2 linked regions of the Danio rerio genome follow. The protein of the gene in region 1 purifies or fractionates together with the protein of each later gene. This does not show direct contact. Links are inferred from orthologs where the notes say so. Each region holds a gene or a part of one and is shown on either strand. Other genes may lie near its edges.

Region 1 (8,212 bases):
TGAGAGAATGTACTCGTTTCTTTTCGCTTATTAAGTTCTTGGCTTCTTCACATACTATTTGATCAATCCTCTTTCCATTCGCTTTCACAATTATCCATTGATGTAAAGTGAGGTTTTTAAGGGTCAACAATAATGTAGCAGGTGAGGCCAATATGTCAGCACCAGTGAAATCTAGCAGTTTTAGCTGCCTTACTATTTGAGAGGAAGCTGACAGGGTGTTTCTGATTCTTATTGTATGGAGTTATTTCTATTTCATCTTCTGAATTGGCAATCTTTGCCCTCAAATTTTTTGTCTCATCTCTCTTTACCTTTCGACTGTTATTCAGTGCTTCATCTATTCGTTTAGCCTTCATCTCTAAAAAACTCTTATTCCATTTTAAGGTGCCTCATTTTGAAGCGTCATAAAGAAGTTTTGCATGTTTAGCATGCCCTGGGATTGAATCTCTTAAAGTTTAATGTACCAAGCATGCTCTGAAACTCTTTCAATTCCTTTCATTTATTTTCCATATTCTGTGGCTGGGATCATTCAGGACCAGTTCTTTGAAGTTCTCTCAACACCAAGCAGTTTTCATTTTCTTTACCCTGAATCCATTTTTAGGCTTTTTTTATTAGATCTCAGACTCCAGATGCTGTTTGCTTCTAGTTATATATAGTCATAGTTATATATAGTTATATATAGCTTCTAGTCAGATATAACTTTATCCTCTGTGCCCAGATTCTGTTTAATTGTGTATATACACTATCTCCTACTTTTTTTGAAAGAGCATCTGCCTTTTCAGCTGTTGGAACTCTGTCATTTAGAAAAGTCCAGCAATCAATTACCTCCTCATCCCAATCTTTTCCTGATTTATTTATTTATTTTTCCGCGAATCATGCCTTTGCTTCTTTGGTCATTATTTCAGCTCTGCCACTGCTAGCTGGTTGGTGTTGTAATGATTTGATCAGTTTTTCAGCTTCACTTTTCAGACAGTTTTCTGCTTCATTACTTGTAATGATGTGTTGTCCACTTTCACCCTATTCAGCTTTCCTCTGCATTTGACAATTCTTCTTAGTCTGAGGTGTAAGAGATTCTGCATAATCCATGCTTATTTCATCATTTTCCTGATCTGTTTTTATTCATATTTATATTAACATGAGTCCATTGCTTTTCTGCAATTTTGACTTTTATCCTTTGATATTCTGTCTGTAAGTTTTCTATGTTTAGTCCTGAAGCGTGACAATAGAGTGCTCAAGTACTTTTGTGTACTTGTAATATTTTGAGGTGTTTCTATTCATTCTTTGTGACTATAAGACTGTCATCTTTATAAATCACAATAGGTCGCCCTTTAAGAACCTCCATCATTATAGCTTGAAAAGCATTTGGAGAGTTCGAAAATCGAAAATTAATTATACCGCTTATTAACAAATGTAAATGCGAGGTTGCCTCTCAGGCACAAAATCCAAATATTTTTGATAATATTTTTCTTCTGGGGCTGCTCCTGGAGCATCTCTTGCATTAATCGGGTATCTTGTATCTAGTATTGTTGGTTTATTTTGTTACCAACCTCCACCCTCCATCTGGTTTTGCAAACACTTGTATAAGGAATTTTGTTGGTGCATTATCAAGTTCCTCTATTTATCTTTCAGCTTTAATTCCTGTATTTGTTTTCTTTCCCTTTTATTAATAGGGTATTGTCTATAGTGGGGTGGTGCAATGGCACAGTTTGATCACATTCCTATTTATGAAAATTTTTTGCAGTCATTTTCTACTATGTGCTTGATTTATATTTTTTCTCCTAAGTTCTCTCTGACTTTATTAGTGTTGGCTTTAATTGTTTCGGCCATTCTCTTTAGTTCCTCCTCCTGGTTTACTTTTTAATCAATAACCAGCCTATTTCTCTACTTTTTAATATTGTGCTGGCAGCTTTCAGTTTACTAACACCTTTTGTGATCTGTAAACGTTTTCCTTTTCTACATAACCTCTGAAGTCTTTAATATTGAAAGCTGTTTAAGTTTCTTTGGCTTTTTTAGGCAAGTGAATTACCACCAGTTAAAGATTATTCCATCATAATATATTAAGGTTGTTTTACTTGGAGGCAGGCACCCCTAGTCCTCTTGAGATTTGGGTGACTCTGTTACTGTTAACAACGTTCTTGTTGCTTTTAACTGCTTTAGTTTTAGACTCTTTCTTTGAGTTTCTCTTGTCTATGATTTCTAGTCTCTGTTCTGGGGTCAGTTTTGCCCATTCCTCTTTAGAGACAGAGTCATTCTCTCCAGATTTTTGTTTGAAATCCGTTTATTTGTATTTACTTTTATTCTTCCTTGTGACCTGAGGCTTTTGGCTCTGGTGTTTTATATTCAGCTATTAGTCTTTGCAGTTTTTCAGTAATTATCTTTTTTTTTCTTTCTCATCTAATGGCAAAGTTCATTTCCCCCATGATGTTTGCGGCCCTAAAAGTTTTAGTCTGATAATCCAGGCACTAAATCTGTCACCTCTTGAACTTCCCTTATCTGTGCATACACTGAATTCAGTCTCCCGTCTGTCTAAGCAGTATGGGTAAACTCCTATTTATTTTATTGTTTCAGCCCTTTCCGCCCCTCATCTTGAAGGGCTTTACCTAGTATTGTCCCTAGCTGCAGCCTTATCTTCTTCTTGGTATGATCATTGCCTTAATTCGTCATCAGCTTTGTACAGTTCACCTATTCTGATCATTCGTGAGTTTTGTCTGTAACCGATGCCCCTGGGGAGAATGTTGTTTATGTTAACAGGTACGGAGCCCTGTTGCTTAACTCACTGACCCCCTGAGATTATCTTATTTTTGTACTCATCCCCAGCATCACTTATTTACGGACTGAGTGCTCCTCTTCAGCACAGCAGTTAGTTTCAGAGCTTGGCTCACTGGAGACTCATTCGGCAGCGGGGTCTCATGTTTCTTTTTTGCCTTTGTTATCTTCTGCTGTCCTCTTACCTCTGGTGAGCTTTCTCTAGCAAAATAATGTCCTTATTTTCCCTAGTTTTGGGTCTTGTTTGCTTGATGAATCTTCATCCATTAATCCTGGCCAAGTCATTCCACTGATCATCGCTTGTAATCCTTCTGCCAAATCACAGATCATATCTAGTTTGGCCTTCTGATTTATATCAGTTCATTTTTATTTTTCGTCTGCTGTACAAGATGAAGCTAGATATGTCATATCAGCATTCTCTTTGTTTCTGCCCTCCACCTTCTTTAGGTGAACTTTGAACCCAGGTGGGACAGTGGCATCCCCAGAACATCTTAGGATTTGCCAGAAGAGGCCATGCTGAATCTTGGGGTGGCACACACACAAAAAATCAGTGTAATGTTGTATTTATGTTTCTGGTAAATGAAATAATGTGGTTTTAATTCATTTTAATTAATTATTCTTGAAATATTGCAATTTATTTCTTGAAATAATTCAGCAAGTACATGCACAAACCAAATAAAAGTCAATATTTATATATATATAAAACTTTTCAGTTATTTTTTACAGTCTTTTATTGTACAGTATATGCCATGTCTAAAATTAATGAATAATTTAATAAAACAAACAAATGATGAACAAACTGAACAAAAGACATTACTACATACACACACACCCACTATACAGATTAATAATATCATTTATCCATATTCCTTTTTGAGCCACAATATTATTAATACAGCTTCCTCTATTGATGTACCTTAAGTTAAATATGAAATTGCCATTGCTGACTATTGAAGGTGTGTGCGGGCTGTCAATGAAGATCGAGAGGGGGAATAGCAGTGAATCTGCTACGCCAGTGGCACCAATCAATCCACAATAATTTAGTGGCTGCTATTTATTTATTTATTTATTTATCTATTTAAGTACTTTAATAATGTCAACAGCAAAATCATATTGTGTTTACACTGTGGTGGCTGTGGTGGTGCCCCTGAGGTGGGAGACGATTTCTTTGAGTCCCTGTGTAGCATTTTGTGTACAGAGTGGCCTACGAACTCTAAGTGAGTGTTGAAGTTGGCTTCTGCTGATGAAACTACAAACTATCTTCAGCAAACTTTCTTTTTAACTGAATCTCTAACTCCGGTTCTTCTTCATCAGACAGACTTTTCATTTTTGGGTTAAAACTGTTGGTTCCCCTTATAATTCTGAAACTGCACTGCTGGGGTTATCTTACAAGCCATGAAAATAAAAACAAAAAGACAAACGGACTGAAGCCATGACTTGGCGTGTGTGTGTGTGTGTGTGTGTGTGTGTGTGTGTGTGTGTGTGTGTGTGTGTGTATGTGTTCAGGCTGGTGGATCACATGTCAGCAGTAGCAGCAGTGTGATGGAGCAGCATGTGCAGGAGTGTGTGGATCAGGATCTGCTGGAGCGTGTGGATCAGCAGCAGGAGTGTGTGGATCTTCAGCAGGACTGTATGGATCAGCAGCAGCAGCAGCAGGAGTGTGTGTGTGCTGCGGCTCCTCCCCTGCTCTGCTGTGAGGCTGAAGACGGTCTCCTCCCTCTCGCTCTGGAGCGGCTGCTAGACTCCTCCACCTGCAGAAGCCCCTCCGACTGCCTAATGCTGGCGCTACACCTGCTGCTGCTGGAGACCGGCTTCATCCCACAGGTGATATCCACTTCACCTGGGCTATGTTCTTTCTATCCTAAAGGGAAAGTTCACCCAAGAATGAAAATGTCCTCTGTATTTACTCTCTCCTTCTCGCTTCAGGGCGGAGCCGTGAGCTCAGGGGAGATGCCGATTGGCTGGCAGGCCGCAGGGGGTGTGTTTAGAATCCAGTATGTCCACCCTCTGCTGGAGAACAGCCTGGTGTCGGTGGTGGCCGTGCCCATGGTTCAAACTCTGGTCATAAATGGTAATATACACCGTATGTAACACTGATATGTTCAATTTAAGTGTATTTGTAAAGTGTTTTTTACTATTATTATCATTCCAAAGCAGCTTTACAAAGGGTGCACATCATTACATGACAGTCGACATTAGAACAGTGAAGTGACTTAGTTTTTACAGCTAAGATTTCTTTTATTTAATGTTTTTTATCCTGTAAAAATGCTTTTCCTAGATTTTGTTGTCTCGTTTCTAGTCCAGAGATGTCGAAATTCTTAAATCAAGAAGCATTTTCTAGACAAGCCAAAAATATAGTGGTGTTTTCTGAAGTAATGAGTGAAAATTTCTTTAAAACAAGCAGAATAATCTGCCGATGGGGGAATAAAACAATCTTGTTTTTGCTTTTGATCAGCCGTCCTGAAGATGGAGACGAGTTTGGAGAATTCCCGCAAACTGCTGCTCAAACCTGACGAGTATGTGACAGCTGAGTGGACAGGTGAAGCTCACACACACACACACACACACACACACACACACACACACACACACACACACACACACACACACGCATTAATCATCTGTAAAAGCACAGCAGGATTATGGACTGAATGACCTGCCATGTGTGTGTGCAGGCGGCAGCTCAGGTGTGGTCTACAGAGATCTGCGCAGACTCTCTCGCCTGGTCAGAGATCAGCTGGTGTATCCGCTCATGGCCACTGCCAGACAGGGTGAGTGTGTGTTTACTGTTCACACGTGTGTGTCAGAGTGCTTTGTGTGCATGTACTGTTCACACGGGTTTGTCAAAGTGTTTAATAAATGTCTTTGTGCATGTGTGTATAGCTCTGGGTCTGCCTCTGCTCTTCGGTCTGCCTGTTCTTCCTCCTGAGCTGCTGCTGCGTTTGCTGCGTCTGCTGGACGTTCGATCTCTCGTCTCGCTGTCGGCTGTGTGTCGGCACCTGAACACCGCCACCCATGATGCTTCACTCTGGAGACACCTGCTGCACAGAGACTTTAGGGGTAAATGCGCAAATATACACTTTAGGATGCACGATATGTCTGTGGCCATATCAATATCGGCTGACAAATGCTAGTTTTTTTTAAAGGTTTAGTTCATGCAAAAATTGTAATCAATCATTATATACTCTCCCTCGAGTGTTTCCTAACCTTTGACTTTCTTTACTCTGTTGAACACGAAAGAAAATATTTAGGAGAATGCTGAAAACCTGTTACCATTGATTTGTGTAGGAGGATAAACAAATGCTGCGTCCTAATTCGCATACTAAAACAGTATTTAAAAAAATAATTAGTGTATATAGTGAATATTAAAGATCAATAATAATGTTTATTAATATTCTGAATTAACTTATAGTTAATTTGACTAAATAAATATAACAATGATTTTGCCCGCTCGTCTGAGCAGACTGTAATTATTTATTTATTTAGAAAGGGAATTATAAGTATTTGTCAGGGCCGGATTGGCCAATCAGGAGGACCGGGAGAGTTTCCGGTGGGCCGGTCCGTTTTTTGGCCGCGAGGGCTGGTGTTTCTAGCTGCTTGCACTCTCAGCAGTTGCACTTTTTTTTTCATTTATATATTTATTGAACAAAGCCTCACTCTTTTTATTCATTATTTTGCCGCAGCTCCGGTTATTTATTGTCTCACAGCCCCATGAGCAAAATGCAGCCTGCATGTAATGATGATGTAATTATTATTCCGGCTAAATTATTATTATTATTTTTTTTTTTTTTTTTTTTTTTTTTTTCATTTTTATTGTTGAGACATATCAAACTGTACGGTTGTTGAACATTTAAAGTTCTAAAGCAGCTGTTTTCTTGAAAAAGACATGATAGCATAATTAGAAACTGAATTGGAAATGACCTTATATTAATATAGTCAGTCGTGAACTGAGGTGGGCCGGTCTGCTTGAAACTCCAGGGCTGAAAAGGAGTCCCACTCCAGCCCTGCTACATGTGATGTAGATGAATAGTTTAGACGTTTTGGTAAACTGTAAACTTGTTTTAGTAAAGCTTGTAGCAAACGCTCTGTCGTTAAATTGACCTTTTCTGTGAGGCAAAACAAAGACAACATGGTTATAGCCTGATTTATTGACTAGTCTAACATATCAAAACAAACGTACAAAACATAACAACAAAAACATATAAAAGAAGCAAGCGAGCAAATAAAGAGTTTAGATAAAAGAATGGCAAATCTAGTTCAGTTCCACACAACTGTTAAAGACTCCTAAACCCTTCTGCTCCAATGTCTGGGAGAAAATGGGTTTTAACTATGGGTCAAGTCACACCTATTTTCTACTGAGTGACCAGTGGTTTCAGGGCAAGGATTTGAGCGTTTGACCGTTGATATGCATAATGAGGGTCGTCCCTGAGCATACAGCTGGACCTTACCTCTGAGCATTAAAGAATGCAAGCTGTAAAAGTTATTGTCATATGGTTGTAAAATAGCAGGAGAAACGTAATGCTACTAAACACGACACTCTAAACGCACATCAGATAGCATCTAGGCATTTCTATACTATATAAGATCAAAAGGGACTTCATTAACGCATGCATATACTATTTTAATTACTTTAGCTTTAGGGCAGAGCATATAGATTACAAACACACATTACATTTCTTTTGGAGTGAGTTTTTGAGTTCTAATCGTTCTTTCAGTTGTGTGTGTCTTTGGGTGGGTGTGTGTGTGTGTGTGGGGTGTTGGAACAGTTGCAGGTTTTCCTTTGGAATGTCTTGGCTTGCAAAGATGCACCAAAGGGACACAAGTTTCTCCCTTCTCCCCATCTGTAATATAGATTAAACAGCAGCAATGGGTCCCCAGTTTCCCTTATGCATCCCAGGTTAAACGAGGTGTCATGCACAGCGACCTTTGTCTCTAGACTTTCTGGAGCCTTTAATCATGAATCTCTCACCGATAAGAAATATGGTATTTAGGGGTAATCCAGTTCTTCAACTGTGACCCATATGCAACAGTAGCATGTGCAAAAGTGTATGCCGACGGTTCCTTGTGGTTGTACTATTTCAAGTAGAAATTTGAAGTGTAGAACCCTTTATTTAAAATTATCGATAGCCCCACATGTAATTTGCGCACACAGAAATCCTTTAAGGCCATAATTTATTCATTTGCTTGTGTAAATGTGTTTACATTAATTGTAGTAATTTTATTGAATAATATTGAATGTTTATGATTCATCTACAACACAGTGACTAATGTAAAGTTTTCTGTCTCTCAGTAGATATATTATGAGAATAAGATTGTTTACCAAAGAAGTGGTTGTACTTGGATTTTGATTGTAAATCTTAAATGTTGTCATTTTAATTATGTTACAGTTTCAGCTACTTTTCTGTCAAATCATTCTTCATAAATCTGCAGCCTTTGTACAAAATTCTGC
Region 2 (7,773 bases), on another chromosome or scaffold:
ACGCCACACGCAACTTGATCTTCCATTGTTAAATGAATTTGATAAGAAGTGCGCATCATTTTCACGCTAGAAACATGTTTTATGCAGGAATGTAACTGACATGCTGTAACGGCTCCTTTAAATACGAGATCAGTGTAACGAGTTTTGACGCTCTCGCCGCCGGAGCTGAAGGCAGACAGCGTTGTCGCCAGGGCGGCCAGAGCAACCTTGGACGCTCTCGCCGCTTTCGGTGTGAACGTACGGTTGGGATTTAAAGCAATGCCAAAAACGTACCTATTTTCTGAGAGACCCCAAATCTCCCACCGTGCCTTTAATTTGCACTTATTGATGTTTTTCAGGCTCACAAATCCACAATATGGCAAGTGAGGCACTTACCTCAAAATCGTGACGTCTTCATGACAGCCGGAGGAGCGGGAAACCTGCATTTATGGAAATAGTAAGTGATTTCTTGCAGTTTATATTATTAAACATCTGGGCTGTTGATGTGACGTTGCATTTCCAGTACATGACAAAATACAATATATTTAGTATTGAAACGATGGGAACTATTATGCAAAAATCACTTTTATTAGGGCTTTTAAACACAGTTGTGTGGAAACAGTTAGTGAATATATCCAGCCTCTAATGGTTAACATTTATTAATTAAATTGTTATAATCAAACATGTTGAAAACAGAAACACTTGCATGACATTTTCCCTTTGTACATGTCTCTCCCTCATTAGCATATGCCGTTAGTCTTGTTTGAGAATCTGCCACTATGATGACACACAGGCATTTTCAGCTCCGCCCTCTTCTGAAAAGTGCACGATCTCATTTGCATTTAAAGCGACCTTAAAAGAATCATTTTTGCTGGCCACTCTTCAACTCCTCATTGCTTGACGGCTCTACTCAGTAGCATTCTTTCCTCCTGTTTTTCCAGTGAGTATCCGGCCCAGAGGAGTAAGAAGGGAGCAGATGATGTGGAGATGGGGGTCGCTGGATCTGTCAATCTCCTCCAGAACGTGACTCTGTCCACACAACCCATCTCCAGTCTAGACTGGAGCCCGGATAAACAGGGTCTCTGCGTCTGCTCCTCATTCGACCAGTCTGTACGAGTGCTCATAGTCACCAAACTCAACACTGTCTGAGCCAACAGTACATCACTTTTATTCTCCAACAGACTGGAATATCTGATGACTGTTTACATGAACGTGTGTGTCTTAAAGGGACAGTTCACCCCAAAATATAATGTACTCACTATTTATTCTTCCTTGTGTGGTTTTCAAACTTTTATTATCTTTTATCGGAAACAAAAGAAGATATTTCCATTAATGTTGGAAACCTGTAACCATTGACTTCCATAGTAGGAATAACAAGTACTATGGAAGTCAATGTTTTTCAGAATATCTTCCCTTGTGTTTAATAAGTTAATAAGCTCAAAGGTTTGAAACAAGGATGACAATTTTAATTTTGGGGTGAACTATCCCTTAAGTAAATCTGCAATTGTATTCGAGTTGATTAGTTTTTTTACAGACAAGTGTTATGATGCTTTATAACACTGGATGTAGTTGTGACTTTGCTTTGCTAGCACTGGTGAAATGGGTTCTTATGCCCAAAGTGAAGGCCTTCAGTGCTATGGTGAAGTTATTATTGATCTTTAATAATAAAATCAAAACATGAATTTCTATTATTCTGACTGTTAGCTGATTAATAGTTGAACACAAAGACCAAGAGTACAACTTTGAGGTCAAGTTGTTTTAATTGTATCACATTTTGGCTGTCTCCTTAACAATATCATTCCAGAAAGACAGGAACCAGCCAACAGTATCTGAGGTGTTCGCTAAAATGACCAAGTACTTGTGTGAAAGTAAAAGATGGAAGCAGTCTACTGAACCGCTGACTGCCTTGACCCGCTGTCTCGAGCGCATGACAATGTGTCTGTGTGTGAATGAGTGTGTGTGTGTGGTCACGTGATGTGCGTTTTCAGCGGTAGTGAGGAAGGAGGGCTGCTCAGAAATGCTACACGCCAGTGTGGATGTGGATTGTTGTCGTTCTAAAATGCCATTTAAAAACAAAGACATGTTAGTGTAAACAGGGCCTGAGTTTCGTGTTTTCGTGTATGGATCGCAATGCGCCCATCGTCTATTATCCCAACCGTAATACGTACATGGCAGAGCTTGCAAACTGTTTTTTTTTTTTTTTTGTTGACAACACGAACGTTGTCAACATAACTAACTGAAAATCCAAAATACTTCCACACCGGTGACTTCATTGAAAGAGGAGAGGGTTTAAGCTCTGTCGACGGGTCTCCTGCTTCTGCAGTTTAACAAGCACTTCAACAAGCCTGTTTTTTCCCGCTTGGCAAGCCAAGCTGACGTTACATGGGGGCGTTGCAGCATCGACGATTCTATTTTTTGATTCGATAATTGAAGTTGACGATAAATTTCGATCGATTTTGATTAAAAATTGAAATCATGACACCCTTAATATATATATATATATATATATATATATATATATATATATATATATATATATATATATATATATATATATATATATATATATATAAATACATACTACAGATTGTAATATATTACTTTTTCCCCAACACTGCATATAGAGTAGGTCACCATAATAACATCTGCCTATATTGGTACCCATATTGATATTGGCCAATAAATGGCCACAACATTTAAGTGGCCGATACATGCGTTTTTTTAATGTTATCGTTTGTATTACAATGATTTTGGCATCACAACGTCAACGTGGTGTCTCTCTGCCGTCTGAACACTGTAACAGGTAAAAATGATCTTCAAAAAATAGGTCTTCAAAGCTAATGATGTTCTGCTGGTATATGTTTTGAATATTTCAATAAAATTATACAAGTATTTAAGTGTAAATTTGAGCATATACTATACAGTGAGGTTTTTACTTAAATAATAATTGTAAGAGTTTTGAAATCGAAGCTAAAAACCTGATTAGGCCCATTTTCCATGTCTATCCATCTAAAATAAAAAATGTTTTTAAATAACTTAAAATGTGTCAAAACTACACAAATCTTGAGATTTTATTTTTTGACCACTTAATTTAAGTTCAATCTACTTCAGATTTGTTGCTTTCACTTAATCGGTTAGTGTGGAGCTCTGCATTTTTTACAGCGTAGACATTTTAACACAATCCAGATGCGATGTTTTCACTCAACCTGAGGTTGTCAAATGGACAAACCACTCTGAACACTACACAATGTTGACACCAGTATGGTATTTATTCTCGAGACAGAATATAAAAAGGAGAGCAGAATGAAAGATGCATCTGGAGCGAAACAAAAAGAGGCTAACGTTGGCGTGCAGAGAAGGCGTCTCAGTCTTTCCTGAGCGGCACGATCTCTTCTTTAATGCCCTCTTTGGAGACGATGCAGACTTTGAGGGCGTCTCCGGTGTACACGTCTCTCTCGGCAGCAGAAATAAACACGTCCTTCACCAGCTGCACTGCCTTCTCCTGGGTCAGAGGAACATGCTCCACGTTCTCCATGTTCTTGAAGCCGATCTGAGCACAACAAACAACTTAGTTAATGGTTGGTTTCTATTAAAGTCCTCGTGAACTGGAATCTGTAACCATTTCTTTTGTGAGAGAAACGGCATAATAAATGAGAAGACAGTGGGCGTGGCTTGTTTTTTGTACTGTGAGCTGATTGGATGTAGTAAAGTAGGTGTTTCATTCAGGAAGATGGGGAAAAGGGTCTGGGGAGAGTTATTACAACTTAACAGACTCCTCCTGCTCACTGTTTCTGTTGGTTGACTGACAGCTGGATGGGCGTGGTTAAGGGTGTTAGCCCCGCCCACCACATTAGACAGACCTAATCTGAGAATTTACCCAAAAACAATCAGGAAGTGCATTTACAGATTTCAATTAAAGACTATAAGGGCAATCTATTGTTTTTTTCCTAATATGGTTAGTTTTGACTTCATGTGTACTTAAGTTTGGTAGTGATGGGAGAAACTGCTGGTCTGAATGGGGTTTAAGATGGACTATTTAATATTATGATGATAATCTGAACTCTGACCTGGTTGTCGAGGAGCGGCTGCAGCATTGCGCTCGCTGATCCACCTGCTTTATACGTGTCCCTCTGGTAGGAACCAACTGGATCAAAACTATAAACAGCACCTCGACCTGGAATAAAGCAAAACACATGATTATTTAATCACACCGTTCTGTGTTCAAGAAAAATGTGTACATGCATTAGTGAAACGAAACTGATCAACCATTTGGAGAGACTTAAGATCATAAAAGTGTCAAGTGTCTGCACTGACAACGTATTCATTAATATGGGATGGCCGAAATTTGAAAATGCAACATGCAGTTTCCTAGCATTACCACAGTAATCTTGTTTATTGGTTCTTCTGTGGTAATGAAGAGGGGTTTTTAAAGGTGCTGTGAGTTTGTGACTCTTATAAAGTATACAAATACCACAATATTAATCTACCTGAAAATATTAATACGATTATCATTATTAAGGTTGCAGTAATTGTTGTTGTTGTTGTTGTAGTAGTAGTAGTTGTAGCAGTAGTCATCGTAGTAGTATTGATTGTAATTGTATTTTGAAGTAGTAGTTCCTGTAGTAGTTGATGTCGTTGGTATAGTGGTAGCAGAAGTAGTAAAGGTGTCGTTGTAGCAGTAGTAGTAGTAGTAGTCGTTGTTGGTGTAGTAGTTGTAGTAGTCATTGTAGTAGTATCGATCGTAATTGTGATTATTGAAGTATTAGTTCCTGTAGTAGTTGATGTCGTTGGTATAGTGGTAGCAGAAGTAGTAAAAGTGTCGTTGTAGCAGTAGTAATCGTTGTTGGTGTAGTAGTACCAGTAGTAGATGTCGTTGATGTAGATGTTGTAGTAGCAGTGATTGCGGTAGTAGTAGACGTTGTATTAGTTGTAGCAGACGCTGTAGTATCAGTAGTGGTAGTCATTGTTGTGGTAGTATCAGCAGTAGTAGACATTATAGTAGTAATAGTTGTGGTTGTGATTGTAGTAGCAGCAATAGTAGTTAATAATTATATAGTAATATAAGTAACTTTCTGCAGTAGTAGTAGTTAGGGTAGTACTTGTGATTTATTATCATTTATTATTACTGTTGTCATTTCTTTCTTTTTACTGTCATTATTTCTATTATACATTACTAAGCATAGTTGTTACTCCCTAACTCTGACTGGTTTCTTTTGTATCTGTTTTACTTATATCTGCGAGACTAGATTCATTTATTGGCTAACATTGTTCCTAATGTATGTAATCTGACCTTCCACCAAGTTACCTTTACATGGACACACACACACACACACACCTAACAGTACCTGACTATATTGTTTTTTTTTTTTTTTTATTGTTTTTTTTATTGTTGTTTTGTTATGGTTTTTTGTTGATGTTTTTTGTATTTGTATGATCCCAATTTATGTACCTTTTTGCATATTCTAATAAAAAAATAAATAAATAAATCTACCTGAAAATGCAGGGGGCTATTCCATCAACCAAGCTTACAGAAAAAGCCAGGCTTTTTTTGGTAAGTCAGGTTTATTAATGGCGGATTCGGTTTCATAAATCAAATTTACGATAGTTCAAACTTAGTTACCCTGGCAACTTAGGCTGGGAAACTAGCCTGGTCCGGGGCAGGCTAACTCCAAGGCTAAGCCTTAAGTTTAAGCTTAATCAAAGTAATGTTAACATTCACCTGACATAATTTGATGCCATTTAAATTCACTTAACCTCTTAATAATGATTAAAACTTTAGTCACTTAATAGCAAAAAAAAAAAATTATATATATATATATATATATATATATATATATATATATATATATATATATATATATATATATATATATATATATATATATATATATATATTCCAAACTTTGCATTGGTACTGAATAATCTAATGTATATGCACAAATATATTTAACGCAATGCATTAAAACGTTTAATTGCAAGCAACAATTGGCAGTAAGCGCAAATTCTCTCTCATGCACATGCGCGGTCAAGCACAATTACTATGTTTTATAACAAATATTTAATTTCATGTTAATAGGCATAAATAATAGCATATATTTAAAAATATAGAGCTACTGTAGCTTATTAAACAATCTGCAGTTTCGTGACTCACTCGCTGTGAACAGCTGTGTCTCATTTCAGAGCTCTTTCAGTTCTCTAAGTTGCCATGGTAGCACACAACGTAATCGATGCATCTATGCTCGACTTTTAAGGTTTCACAACAGAAATGTGCACGAGCAGTTATCTAGATCATTTAAACTGAACTCAGACTAGTTAAATCAAACGATCTTCAACTTGCCGTTATGGAATCAATTTAAGCGTGGACGTTTAGTTCAGCTCATTGAAGTCAGGCTTTTCTTAACCACTTTTATGAAATAGCCCCCTGGTTACTTGTCAAAATGTCTTTGTTTTGGTCTCTATAACCAGCTCATTGCCAGTTTAGCCAAGTATATTTCAGTCAGCCAGACTGCCTTTAATGCGCTCCTGACCTTTAGATGGCTGAATTAAGCCTGAAGACCTGAGCGAACTCACCCTCCTCATCCAGACCGCCGATGATGTTGTAGACGTAGTAAGGGAAGAAGCGCCTGCCGTACAGAATGGTGGACAGCATGGCTGCGATGGCTCCACTCGTCATGCTCTTGTTATTCGAGTGCTTGTACATCTGTAAGGGCAGCCCAGAAAGTCAAACACACCGCTCAGGAAATGTGGATATTTCTGTGGGGATCATGAGCTGGCTGGAAGTCCATTTACATGTGTGACTACACAAATACTACGGAAGTCAATGACATTTTCAAGTTTCTTTTAGCTAATGTTTTGCACAATAACAATAAATGTTGTAAAAATATTCACACCTGACATGGGGCAAATGCAATGCACTGGAAGGTATTGAGGTTGGAATAGCAGGTCTTAACATGAAAACAAGTTAAACAAGTTGTAAACAAGTTGTAGCAGGTAATGTTTTAAGTGATGAACCTTGTTAGTGAAATTATTAAAATGATGACAGCAAACATGACGAGTCCTAAAAAGTGCCAAGATGACATTGATAAAGCGATTTAAACAATTAGGACAGGGGTGTCCAAACTCAATCCTGGAGGGCCGCTGTCCTGCTGAGTTTAGTTCCAACTTGCTTCAACACACCTGCCTGGAAGTGTCTAGTACAGGGGTGTCCAAAGTCAATCCTGGAGGGCCGGTGTCCTGCATATTTTAGTTCCAACCCCAATTAAACACACCTGAAGCAGCTGATCAAGCCATTTCTAGGTATACTAGAAACTTCTAGGCAGGTGTGTTGAAGGAAGTTGGAGCTAAACTATGCAGGACACCTACGAGTTTGGACACCCCTGTTCTATTATACCTAGTATGAGCTTGACTAGCTTGTTCAGGTGTGTTTGATTATGGTTGGGGCTAAACTCTCCAGGACACCGGCCCTCCAGGACTGAGTTTGGACACCCCTTAATTAGGAGATTTGTTCAGTTTTGTATGTGAGGCAACGTTTTTTTTTCCACCCTTTTAAATGTGCAGAGAAAACTTATTGTCATATTTCCTAAATAATAATAATAATAATAATAATAACAACAAAGCATGTAAAAAAAAAATCAAGCTAAGAATAACTAATGATAATAAAGATACTTCCTTTATTTGTATTATCTGTTTTTTAATTGGTTGTAAAATTTGCTTTGTTATTTGACAAATTATATTGTTATTTTACAGATAAATTATCCACAGCAATATTATAGAAAAATAATAAAAGGTTGTTCA

The links.
Region 2: the proteins of fbxo7 (region 1) and psmb1 purify together in Homo sapiens (affinity purification with mass spectrometry; 3 studies listed by BioGRID and IntAct, counting the BioPlex papers as one, with this or other methods). This does not show direct contact. The link is inferred for Danio rerio from reciprocal best matches to the Homo sapiens genes FBXO7 and PSMB1.

The regions. Positions count from the first base shown.
Region 1 is NC_133179.1:944,922-953,133, forward strand, and holds part of fbxo7 (F-box only protein 7), read left to right. Parts: intron 1-4,269; coding exon 4,270-4,587; intron 4,588-4,689; coding exon 4,690-4,834; intron 4,835-5,218; coding exon 5,219-5,302; intron 5,303-5,438; coding exon 5,439-5,534; intron 5,535-5,646; coding exon 5,647-5,823; intron 5,824-8,212. UniProt on the Homo sapiens protein: Substrate recognition component of a SCF (SKP1-CUL1-F-box protein) E3 ubiquitin-protein ligase complex which mediates the ubiquitination and subsequent proteasomal degradation of target proteins and plays a role in several biological processes such as cell cycle, cell proliferation, or maintenance of chromosome stability.
Region 2 is NC_133188.1:1,045,627-1,053,399, forward strand, and holds the end of psmb1 (proteasome subunit beta type-1), read right to left. Parts: intron 6,680-7,773; coding exon 6,550-6,679; intron 4,154-6,549; coding exon 4,047-4,153; intron 3,530-4,046; coding exon 3,344-3,529; 3' UTR 3,226-3,343; downstream 1-3,225. Other genes in the region: dnaaf10 (dynein axonemal assembly factor 10), read left to right, coding at 339-436, 921-1,128. UniProt on the Homo sapiens protein: Non-catalytic component of the 20S core proteasome complex involved in the proteolytic degradation of most intracellular proteins. This complex plays numerous essential roles within the cell by associating with different regulatory particles.